Pelodiscus sinensis: one gene and its partners. The protein of the gene in region 3 purifies or fractionates together with the protein of the main gene of each other region. This does not show direct contact. Links are inferred from orthologs where the notes say so. Each region holds a gene or a part of one and is shown on either strand. Other genes may lie near its edges.

The links. The genes of interacting proteins can lie anywhere in the genome.
Region 1: the proteins of FBXW7 (region 3) and RBM28 purify together in Homo sapiens (affinity purification with mass spectrometry, with the first as the bait; 3 studies listed by BioGRID). This does not show direct contact. The link is inferred for Pelodiscus sinensis from reciprocal best matches to the Homo sapiens genes FBXW7 and RBM28.
Region 2: the proteins of FBXW7 (region 3) and FMR1 purify together in Homo sapiens (affinity purification with mass spectrometry, with the first as the bait; 3 studies listed by BioGRID). This does not show direct contact. The link is inferred for Pelodiscus sinensis from reciprocal best matches to the Homo sapiens genes FBXW7 and FMR1.

Annotation. Positions count from the first base shown.
Region 1 is NW_027465922.1:773,688-777,433, reverse strand, and holds the start of RBM28 (RNA-binding protein 28), read right to left. Parts: upstream 2,521-3,746; 5' UTR 2,490-2,520; coding exon 2,327-2,489; intron 1,166-2,326; coding exon 1,022-1,165; intron 721-1,021; coding exon 626-720; intron 228-625; coding exon 152-227; intron 1-151. UniProt on the Homo sapiens protein: Nucleolar component of the spliceosomal ribonucleoprotein complexes.
Region 2 is NC_134723.1:40,630,732-40,634,477, forward strand, and holds the start of FMR1 (fragile X messenger ribonucleoprotein 1), read left to right. Parts: upstream 1-1,475; 5' UTR 1,476-1,741; coding exon 1,742-1,792; intron 1,793-1,796; exon of another isoform or gene 1,797-1,950; intron 1,951-2,017; exon of another isoform or gene 2,018-2,461; intron 2,462-3,746.
Region 3 is NC_134715.1:55,467,497-55,471,242, forward strand, and holds the start of FBXW7 (F-box/WD repeat-containing protein 7), read right to left. Parts: upstream 2,280-3,746; 5' UTR 2,174-2,279; coding exon 2,018-2,173; intron 1-2,017. UniProt on the Homo sapiens protein: Substrate recognition component of a SCF (SKP1-CUL1-F-box protein) E3 ubiquitin-protein ligase complex which mediates the ubiquitination and subsequent proteasomal degradation of target proteins.

The sequences.
Region 1 (3,746 bases), on a different chromosome or scaffold from region 3:
GCCGGGGGCAGCACACCCCACCTGTCGCAAACGGGGCTTGACCGACAGGCTGGGGGCTAAGAGGCCACAGGCCAGGACAAGCCCCCTGCACGCCCCGCGGCAGCCTGGATCCGACTGGCCCTGCGCGGAGCAGCAGGCGGCTGAGCCCTACCTGCCTTGCGGGGGATGTTCACCTCCAGCACGGCGCCGAAGGGCGAGAACAGAGCCCGCAGGTCGTCTTCGGAGCACTGGGGAGAAGGAGCCGTGTCAGAGCCGCGCAGGGGCTGGGCTGAGCAAGGAGGGGCGCAGGGAACTGAGCACACCGAGGCCGACCTAGTGCCCTGCCAGCTGGAACCCTCCCTCCGTGGGGAGCTGGGTAGGACCGGGGGCTCCCCTCGGGCGAGAGGGTGCCCTTAGCGCCCACGCGCGGCTCGGCCGGGCTCCGACGCGAATTTCACCCTTTGCCAAGAGAAAGGCAGCGCCGGTGCCAGGTTACAAACCCCGGGACCCGCTTCGAGCGGCTGCCCGTCACATGCCAGCTCCCCCCATTTCGCTGCGCCGCTGTGGCTACCAGCCACAGGCAGCACCAGCGCCGCCCCCAGCTGCGACCTCACCTCGCGCGCCAGGCACCCGCTCGCCCACCTACCTGGAAGCTCAGGTTGCGGATGATCAGCCTGGCTTTCTTGGGGGGCCCTTTCGGCTTTTTCGGCTTCTGCTCCCCTGGAGGGGTCTCCGGGGCACCTGGGAACAGAGAGCACGGCATGGCAGGGCTGCTCGGGCGCCTCTGCCCCACGGCTCCCTTACTTACAAACACACAAAAAAAAACAAACAAAAAAAACAAAAAACAAAAACAAAAAACAAAAACAAAAAAACACAAAACAAAAAAAAAAACCACACCCAGCACGAGTCAGGACACAGCAGGGGAACCCCCGTCCCATCACCACCCCAGAGGTCACAACCAAGGACACAGGCCGTGGGCACAGAGAGGAGCCCGTGGCCCGCGGTGCCCCATAACCACAGAGCCAGGCTGCTCTCAACTCACCAGGCCGCTTCTCCTTCAGCTTCTTCTTGGCAACGGTCACCGAGATGGCACGGCCCTCGAAGGCGGTGACCTCCCGGAGGGCTCGCTGGGCGTCCTCCAGCAGGGAGAAGGTGACGTAGCCAAACCCACGACAGGTCTCGCTGCCTGCAAGAGAGGGGCAGCATGACCGGCACCCCACAGACCCAGGCTCTGCCAAAGGGCTGGGAGCTCGGGGCCTTCTAGGGCACCAGGCTTCGCCCAGGGGAGGCCCCCTCTCAGGAAACCAGGATACCGGCCCAGGGCCTGGCCCACAGAGGGACAGGAGGCCTGGCGGGGGCAGGGTCCCCCCAGGCCAAGGACCCGCTCCCCTCCCGGGCCCAAACAACTCAGGGAGACTCCAGCTGATCCAGAGGCCGCCTTCTCCCCCACTCCCCTGAGCTCGTCCAGGTGCAGACCCCCACCCCCGCCACGGCAGCCCTGCCCCCTCCCACCAGACCCAGCTCCCCTGCCCTGAGCTAACCCTGTTCTCCTCCCCCCCGCCCGGCTCCTGCTTCCTCAGGCTTGCGCCCCAGCCCCTCGCACCACGGATCCGGCTGCCCCCCCCTTCTCTAGACTAGACCCCCACCCCACAGCGACTGCCGGTTCCCCCTGCACCCAACTTCCGACACCCCTGCGGCCCCCCCCGCCCCCCGGCTCCAGCCCCCCTCCCCGACACCCCCCCCCGCCCTCCGGCTCCAGCCCCTCTCCCCGACACCGCCCCCGCCCCACGGCTCCAGCCCCCCTCCCCGACACCCCCCCCGCCCCACGGCTCCAGCCCCCCTCCCCGACACCCCCCCCGCCCCACGGCTCCAGCCCCTCTCCCCGACACCCCCCCCAGCCCCACGGCTCCAGCCCCCCTCCCCGACACCCCCCCCGCCCCCCGGCTCCAGCCCCCCTCCCCGACACCCCCCCCAGCCCCACGGCTCCAGCCCCCCTCCCCGACACCCCCCCCGCCCCACGGCTCCAGCCCCTCTCCCCGACACCCCCCCCAGCCCCACGGCTCCAGCCCCCCTCCCCGACACCTCCCCCGCCCCACGGCTCCAGCCCCTCTACCCGACACCCCCCCCAGCCCCACGGCTCCAGCCCCCCTCCCCGACACCCCCCCCGCCCCACGGCTCCAGCCCCTCTCCCCGACACCCCCCCCAGCCCCACGGCTCCAGCCCCCCTCCCCGACACCTCCCCCGCCCCACGGCTCCAGCCCCTCTACCCGACACCCCCCCCCAGCCCCACGGCTCCAGCCCCCCTCCCCGACACCTCCCCCGCCCCACGGCTCCAGCCCCCCCCCACCTTTGTGGGTCACCACGAAGCAGCGCTTGAGCGGGCCGAGCTGGCCGAAGATCCGCTCCAGGCCGGGCCCGCGGGCCGAGGGGGGGAGGCCGCGCACCAGCAGCGTCAGCCCGGCCATGGCCCCGGCTCCGGCCCGCACGTGCCGCCCGCTGGGCGCCGCCATCTTGGCCGGGTCCGGCCGCGAACGGGGACCGGCCGGAAACGCGGGGCCGCCGCTGGGTTCCGGCGGGGGGCGGGGCTGTGCCCAGGCTGGGCGGGGGGGGCGGGGCTGTGCCCAGGCTGGGGGGGGAGGGGGGGGCAGCCCGGCATTACGGGCCTGAACTTTGACCTCAGTTTCACCCACTGGCAATAATGACCAAAAAATAGGGACACCTTAGCCCCGCCCCCTGACACCCTAGCCCCGCCCCTGATCCCACAAGCCCCGCCCACCTGCTACAGGAAGTCCGGTCCCTGGGGTAGTACTTCTGGGGTCAAATGAACACATGGCCAGAAGCAAAGGGTGTCATGTGACCTCCCCCCCCCCCCCAAGAACTCCTCAGAGGGATGGGTTGGGCCCCATAGGAGCCCCCCATGCAGCTGTCCCGCAATTGCATTAACCCAGGCCCCAGACGCTGCAGCGCTTGGGGCCCAACCTCCATCCCAGAGGGGTCCAGGGTCTCAGCCCTGTTACTTGGCAGGGAGATGCCGCCCCATTGGCCTCGGGGCCTGGGGATCATCCGGAACGGTCCCACAATGTCATGGGACGGCTCCCTTCGTCCTCTTAACAGTGCCTCGCAGGGGGCTGGCTCCCCACCTGCTGCGCCCCTCAGAGGACCCTCTGCAGCCAGGGGCGGCTCTTTTCCGGAGCAGCCCCTGTCTCTTGGGCCCCACAGTCGGGCTGCGCCAGTGTCCAAAGCAGCCTCTCTCCAAGGGTCCCGCTTGCTGTGGACAGGGGCTGCGCCGGAGCAGGCTGGGAGCCGGGGCAGACCCGGTGTGACCTGATATTAACCGGGTAACTGATGAATGAGAATTTACATCCCTAGTGAGACGTCCTGCAACTGCATTTTCTGAAGTTATTGCAAAACTATCAAGTGTTCTCCGTTTCCACACGCCAGAACGACAATACTAAACGACCCATGCCAATTACGGGGTGCAGGGGACCCTGTAACTAACCCTCCCCACCATTGTTTGCATGGTACATTGCCCACGAGGTCAATGGGGCTGGGCTATTTTATATGTAAAGCTACTGAGATATGTCTGTGTCGGTACCATGATGGCAGTACCTGTATCATATAGATAGTAGCCCAATGTCTGTGACTCTGTAACGCTGAAATGCTGGCTGTTCCCTCTGGGCGGCGCTGTTGCCTGAGTCACATCCTTCGCCTCCTGCCGTGGCACTTGGCTGACTTCTGCGCCGCTCAGCCGGGCCGCCGTGGGAGAG
Region 2 (3,746 bases), on a different chromosome or scaffold from region 3:
CAGTCCCCAACATTGCCACCTGTATTTAACAAGGGCTTCCTGAGCTCTCTTTCGGATTTGATCTGCAGAACATCTGAAATGGTCTAGGTCGGAGGAGAAACAGCTAACAAGGGCAGACAACTCAAGCTACAGCCTCCATTTACTCTCAACATGAAGAACTGAGCTTGGGTTAGATCCCCAAGAGGAAGATAGGCCCCTTCTTAACAGCACCTGCAGGGTTTTAATTCAGATCAAACAATTAGTGCAAAATGCGTGGCAGGTGATTAGCCAGCTTAGTCCTCCACTGCCAAGGGCCTTCTTTAGTTGTGCATCTAAACCTAGCACCACTGCACAGAAAACTCAACTTCACCTGCTGCATGATGAGAGTGATGCAAATCACAGGCAGCTGTGGTATGTGGTTACAGATACCCACCGGCTCATATTGGCAGATAGAGACTGTGTATCTAGAAAAATGCAAGCCTGTGGATGTCTGTTTTATAGGTATGAGCACTGGCAAATGTAAGCATCCATGGGTTTTTTCTTTTGGCAGATACCAACTTTGTAACCACCCAGGGCTCTGCCCAGGACAGCTAAGCCACAATCCTCTTCAGCCAACATTTCCCACGCGCTGCACCCTCCCCCCCGCCTCTCCCCTCTTTCAGCCATGCATCACTGCCCTCCCTCCACCCAGCACCAGCCCCCCAGTCTGACCCCCTCCTGGTCCCACGCCTCCAGCCTCCCCCACCCTCAGCCCACACCACAAGCCTCTCTTCACCCTTTCCCCCACCCCACCCCAGCCTCCCCCGTCTTCCGCCTTTCCTGGTCCCGGACCCTACATCACAACCCTCTCGCCCCACCCGCAGCCCTACTCCACAACCCTCCCTCCACCAGCCTCCCGCCTTTCCTGGTCCCGCACCCTCGACCCCACAAAACAACCCTCCCGCCTCACCCCGCCCCAGCCTCCCGCCTATCCTGGTCCCACCCCACAACCCTCCCTCCCAGCCTCCCCAATCTTCCGCCTTTCCTGGTCCCGCACCTCAGACCCCTCCCCCCCGGGTCTTCCCCCACTCCTGGTCCCGAACCGCCACCCACCCCGCACCTCCCGCCTCTCTCCCCCGCCTCGCCCGCTCGTTATTTTGGCGCCACAAGCCCTACCCCTTCCGTTCTCCTCGCGAACTCCACTAACGGCCCCCTTACCCGTCTCTTCCCGAGGGCCGTTGAACGCCGTGCTAACAGGCGCCTCGACGGGTCACGCGGCCTCCTTCCCGGGCACTCCCATTGGCCGCGGCGCACGACGATGGCGCGCCGCCATTGGGTGGCGGTGCAGTCGCTCAGAGCGTGAGCGGCAGGGGTGGGATGCCGTCGCGCCGTGAGGTTCGGTTGCGTGCCGCCGCTGGGGGAAGAGAGAGTGTGTGTGTGAGGGAGGGGCGCGCCGGGCTAGCCGTTAGGTGGACGTGAGCGGGGCGTGCTCGCGCGAGCTGATTTTCCCGCCCCTCCCACCCCGATCGGGGGGCCTGTCACGTGATGCGGGTTTAATGTTTACATTCGAAGCGGGCGCCCCTCTTCCTACCGCCCCCCCCCGCGCGCCGCCGGGTGGTGACCGTTTCGCTTTCATTTCCGGGCAGCCGCGGGCGAGGACCGGAGCCGACCCGCCCCCACCCCTCCGGCTACGGAGCGAACCGAGGCTCCCCCCCACCCTCCCCCGGAGAGAGAGAGGCGGCGCCGGGCCTGGGCATCCCGCACCGAGCCGCCGCGGCACAACATGGAGGAGCTGGTGGTGGAGGTGCGGGGCTCCAATGGGGCCTTCTACAAGGTACCGTGCGCCGGGCCTCAGGGGAGGGCCCGGAGGCGGCGGCGGCTCCCCCCGCCTGTGCGGGAAGGAGAGCGGCCCGGGCTGGACGGCGGCCTGGGAGAGCCTGAGGGGAGGTCGAATGAGGGAGGCCGCCGAGGTCTGAGGGAGCTGCGGGCGGGCTTGGGGCCTGCGAGACCTTCGCCCTGCGGGGGGGGGGACATGCCTCGCCGCTGTGCGAGGGAAGGGGGAGAGGGCACGGCTGGGCCTCTGCCCTCCCGGCGCTGTGGGGGACCAGGGGCGGCCTGGAGCCTCCGCGCTGCATCCCGGCGAGCCCCTGCCGGGCGCGGCGGAAGCTCGTGAGCAGGCTTTCGCGGTGAAATGCCCCCCCCCCCCCCCCCTTCCGCGCCGCTGCGGCCAGGGATGCCGGCACCCGCACGGGCGGGAGCGTGGCGGGGCCTACAGGGCCTGCCCCGGCTTCCTGCGAACGTTACGGACCCGAGTGTGTGTGGTAGGCAGCAGTGGGGAGAGCCTCCCCTGAGTGTGGCACGGAGTTATTCCTGGCTATTGTGATAGCAGCTCGCGTTGCCATTGTTGCTCCGTGAAGTGAAGAGCGTCGGTCAGTAGACAGGAGAGCATCCTTTGGGTTGCAATGGGCTGTGATCCAGGAGACTTAAGATAACACGCAACCAGGTTAGTAGAGCATGGGGTTAGGGCCTACTCCCACTGGAGTCAGTTGGAGCGGATCCAGACCCTTTGTCAAAATACTCTTCACCATGATGGGTCTGTTGCTGCAAAGTGCTAAGCCCTCCACTTCTATGGGGTGTTGAATGTTCTTAGTGTCTTCAAGAATTGAGCCTACTATTCAGCAGCATCGCATGTGTATGTTAACAAGGTAGATGTGAACTCTTACAAAACTGAATAGTTCACATACTGTAGCACAAGGGAGGTAGGAAGTAGGATCTGGTACCGAGATAATATTGATTTTCTTTTAAAGTTCATACTGTATACAATTTTTTGTTAAAAAAAATCTGGAGAGGAGAGTTTTAATATATGGTAACATCTCCTGTGTTTTCATAGTAAGAGAACAGAAAAAGTGCTAAATAGAGTGTCTGTTGGGTTTGCAGTGTTCCAGTTGAAATCCAAGATCTGTATATAGCTGGTAGGAAATAAAATACCCAGCATTCACAAAAGTCTCTTTTCTTTATCTCTTCCGGGTTCGTCATTGTTCCAAAAGATAATTGAAAATGTAAAGTATGAATTTTAGGGATAAACAAAGTAGGAGTTTTAAATGGCTGAAGGTTTGGGGTTTTTGTGGGGGGGGGGGTTAATTTTTTTTTCAAATTGTGCGCCAGTAATAAAGTGGCACTGGTAGGCAGCCTTTGTAGAAAGACATAATTTAAAACATGTATTCTCTCTGATTAATTAAAAGTATACAGTACTACTGTGACAAGATTATTGAGAGTATATAAAACAAATTTGACATACTTTAATTGCATGACATTAGTACAGAAAGTTCTCAACTTGAAAAATACTGTAATTTTCATGACCTCTTCTGGGTTTTTTTTCTAACACTAAACCAATACAATAAAATGTACTGGCTTACATGATGATGATGATTATTATTATTATTATTTATTATTATCAGGGCTCAACAAATAATGTAATCTACTCATCTGTGGCAAGTAGCTTACAACCTGGAAGAGCCAGCGCAGAGCAATCTGCACATGTGCAGAACCACGTGAAATCGTGCAGGTGGCGAGCAGAGCTCGCCGCTGCTTGGCGAGCCATAATTATTATTATTATTTCTGGTTAATTTGTGTCCCGGAACAAGTTAGGTTTATGATGAATGGAAAGTTTTGTTGGTTCGTAACAAGTCACTTTATTTCATAAATTGAGAGTTTGTTCAAACATTGTTTAGTACATCTAGCCTATTTTACAAACGTTTCTCCAAGCAGAAATGTATATTTTTTCTTCT
Region 3 (3,746 bases):
TTGACCTCCTATGGCTGGGCTACTCAACTTTGGAAAGTTGAGTAGCTGAGAGACACAGTAATACTCACAGCACATGCCAAAGGCTGCAACATAAGTGCGGGTTGCATATACACGCAAATATATATGCAAATATACGTAAACAGATTCTTTCACACTGATGGGCATGAATACAAAGATTAAGGCAAGACTACACAGCACACAGGCCCCATTTAAATCAGTTCTACTGATACTGATAAAATGCAATATTTACCCCATTTCCACGCATATGACAGCACTTTTAATGAGCAATGACAGTCCAGGAATTTAACTACTAAAACACATATCAACAGAAGACCATTAAATTGACTTGCCATTGTGGAGCGTGCTCCCAGGGGAGGCCATACTCAAACGATCTCACCTGCAGGCCGCACATTGAGCCCCATGTAAACCCAACCCCCTCACGGGCTGCAAACAAATGGGCCATGTGTTGAGTAGATCTGTCTTACAGTTTGACAAATTCTCTGGTTCAGCACTGGTCAGGTCCTGAGGATGTCAGACTAGAGGGGTTCAACCTATATTTTAACTTCAAAAAATGACCCCTGATCCCTATATCAACGAGGTTTAGAGACACAAAATAGAGTGAATCGTGCCATCTCCCTCTAGAGTAAAATTGTTATGTATGGGGTATTATTTGTGACCTAAGTAACAACTACTCTATAAAATAAACCCTGAAAAACGTTAAATGAAGGAACATTTAAATCACTGCACTCTATAAATTACCTTGAAAACATCCTGATCTTAACAAGTGATTGTTTAATATACAGATCCGACTGATATTTTCAGGTTGAGGTGACTGCATGGTCACCTAACTTTAGCACACTAATCCACAATTCATGTTACCTTTTAACTTATCTGTCTCTGACTTCAAAATTCATACAGGAATTTCCCATTGATAGGTGTACTTATTTTCTACTTATCAGTGCAGCACAGGCACAATATAACAAAAGTTAAAATGAATGTTTAACACAGAAATAATTATTAAGCTCTCTCTCACAAAATAAATGTCCTATAGCAGCCAATACGTATCCACAAAAAGGTATGCTTATTCTTGAATAAAAACATATTAACAATGCACTTTGAAAATTTTTGACTGAAAAGGACTAAATATAAACCAGCATCAGACATAGGGACATATTTTGTGCTTATACATATTGTTTATTCACAAATGTACCTTGCAAATGAAAGCAGCATTACAAATCTTAGAGATAAGAAACTTAAATAAAAACACAGGTTCAATTTCAGGGATATATATAGTCACTTCCATGCAGTAAAATCCGTAACTGGACCTGAAGTTTTGCAGTTTAGTTTAGTTTGATTTTCAACCAGAGCCAGCATTTTGCTTCCTACCCATCAATGTCCCATGTAGATAAAATGGTAAAGATAATTTCTATCTTTGTACTTTAAAGAGTAGCATTAGTTTTGCCAAGTTCTCAAGAAATGAGTAAAGGACATTAAGAAAAATATGTATTAAATAACTGCCAGAAAAAGGCTACATGTTAAATGTATAAAGATGACGTCTGATTCTATATAGAGAATTTTCTCTAAACTGAAAAATTATCTAAAATTTTAAGATGTCAGATGCTTCTATCATATAATATCATTGGGGAAGAATTTCATTAAAAGTAATTTTTATTTTGACATAAAGAAGATACTGCATCTTTAAGCATCCAGCAGTTTCAAAGCAACGCTAGGCTGCAATCACAACATCCATTAGAGTGTTCCACGTTTCAGAGCAAGCAAGCAAGCAAGTGGTTGTCATTGTAGCCAGTAAATCACCTGATCCTATTACAAAATCAATTACTGCAGCACATTTCTATTGCTACATAACCTGATGATAGCAAAATGATATTGGATAGCTACTGCAAGGTCAAGAAAACTGCTAGGAACAGCTCAAATTTCTCTTTTAATGTAAGTCTAAATTATAATGCATCTATTTAATGGTATATTTTAGATTTTAAATAAATATCTATATAGTTACCTTTTTTGGTTGATTGGGACATTCGGTGGATAGTCTCTGTAACTGGTCTGACGTATGGCTGCAAGATAGAAGATCAGAGCAGCAGGTCGAACAGCCCAGCCTCTTCATTAAAGAAAAAATAATGCTGCAGCCACATCCACACATTGACTTGCTCATCAGATGACTTTATTCCTTAAGAAACCAGAACTGGTACATTCCCATATATACTCAAAATTGGCTGACTGCCTCATTCTGCAGTTCCCTGGCTGAAATTAACACTGATAAACAGGAGAAAAACAAAACAAAACACGTGTTCCTCAAAAAAAAAAAAAAAAAAAAAGCCAGCCAGAGTCCCAACACGAAGCAAAATTCAACAGTAAAATATAGACAGTTTTACAAGGTAAGATGTTTTAAGGCTCTTAACTGGTTTATAAAAGGAAGAAAGGCACCTTAAGAGGAATAGATTCAAGGTGTCAGATACATTAAATTGCACACTCACTACAGTTTGTTCTTCTCCATCACTTCAAGTCCAGTTACCTACTCTAACGGCTCAGCCTATCCAACCTGTTCTTTCTCTAAGTGCACACTATTCCAATAGCCAACAGAAAAGAGCCACACCCCTCAACATCCTCCATGCACTCTATTCAAGAGCTGCTCAATATCTCAAAAAAGAACTGCTGTTGCATTGCTTAGAACAACAACAGGGAAGGGATTACTGGATGGAGGCTGACCTGCCAATCAGAGCAACTGACCTTTTATTACTCTAGTGTTCAAGAGGGACCTGTCAATACATTCAAGAAGAATGACAGACTTGTCTTCCTGTTATACTCTACAATAGATTTTCTACAATATATATTTTCTAATTTTATTGTAAATTGAATAATTTGTATGCAACAAAAGGATTGCACTGAAACATACAAAATTCTGTAAAGAAATGAGAATGGCTGCTACCAACCTATATGAGTTGTGATAACATTTAAGAAAAAAAACAAACACAAATTTAAACTAAAGGAGGACCAAGAAAGGAAAGTAAGTTGAAACATAACCTTTCTCTTATCAATCCCCAATAGAACTGTCTAGGATAAGCAGCTTTGAGAAAAAAAAGTTACACAAAGTCTTTGGCTCAGAGGAAGAATTGCACAGAAAAGCAACAGTAATTCAAAAGAGTAGTCATATCTCATAGGCTTCCAGGTCTGTTCCAAAAATATTTCATGTGCTGAAACCAAAATATGGTCTCTCAATAACACTCTCTACCTGTCTAATTGCATCTGTATAATTCGGTCTCAGTCAAAAACTTGACTGTTTCTCAGGGTATAAAATCAGTGAACCATATACTGATTTTCCCTTTTCATGTGATGGCATATTGTTATATGCCAGCATTACAAATATTTTAAAAACTTCATTTTAACCAGCTTACTAAAGTAAGCAATATGGTTTCTGAAATAAAAGGGTTCATATTAACACAAATGCTTAAAATGATTACAGGATAAAATGACTTGAAGTAAGTGTCATTTGCATTTATAGAGCTATCAGTGCTGGTCTAATTCAACAGCACCCCTATCAAAAGGTTACAAAAAAGTAGATGACGTAAAAGCAGCTTAAACATATATGTGTGTGTATGTTTATATATATATATATATGTGTGTGTTTTTATATATATATACACACACACACACACACACACACACACACACACACACACTGAAGAAAACTTCAGTTTTCTTACTGCACTGAAAGCTTAATCTGTCTC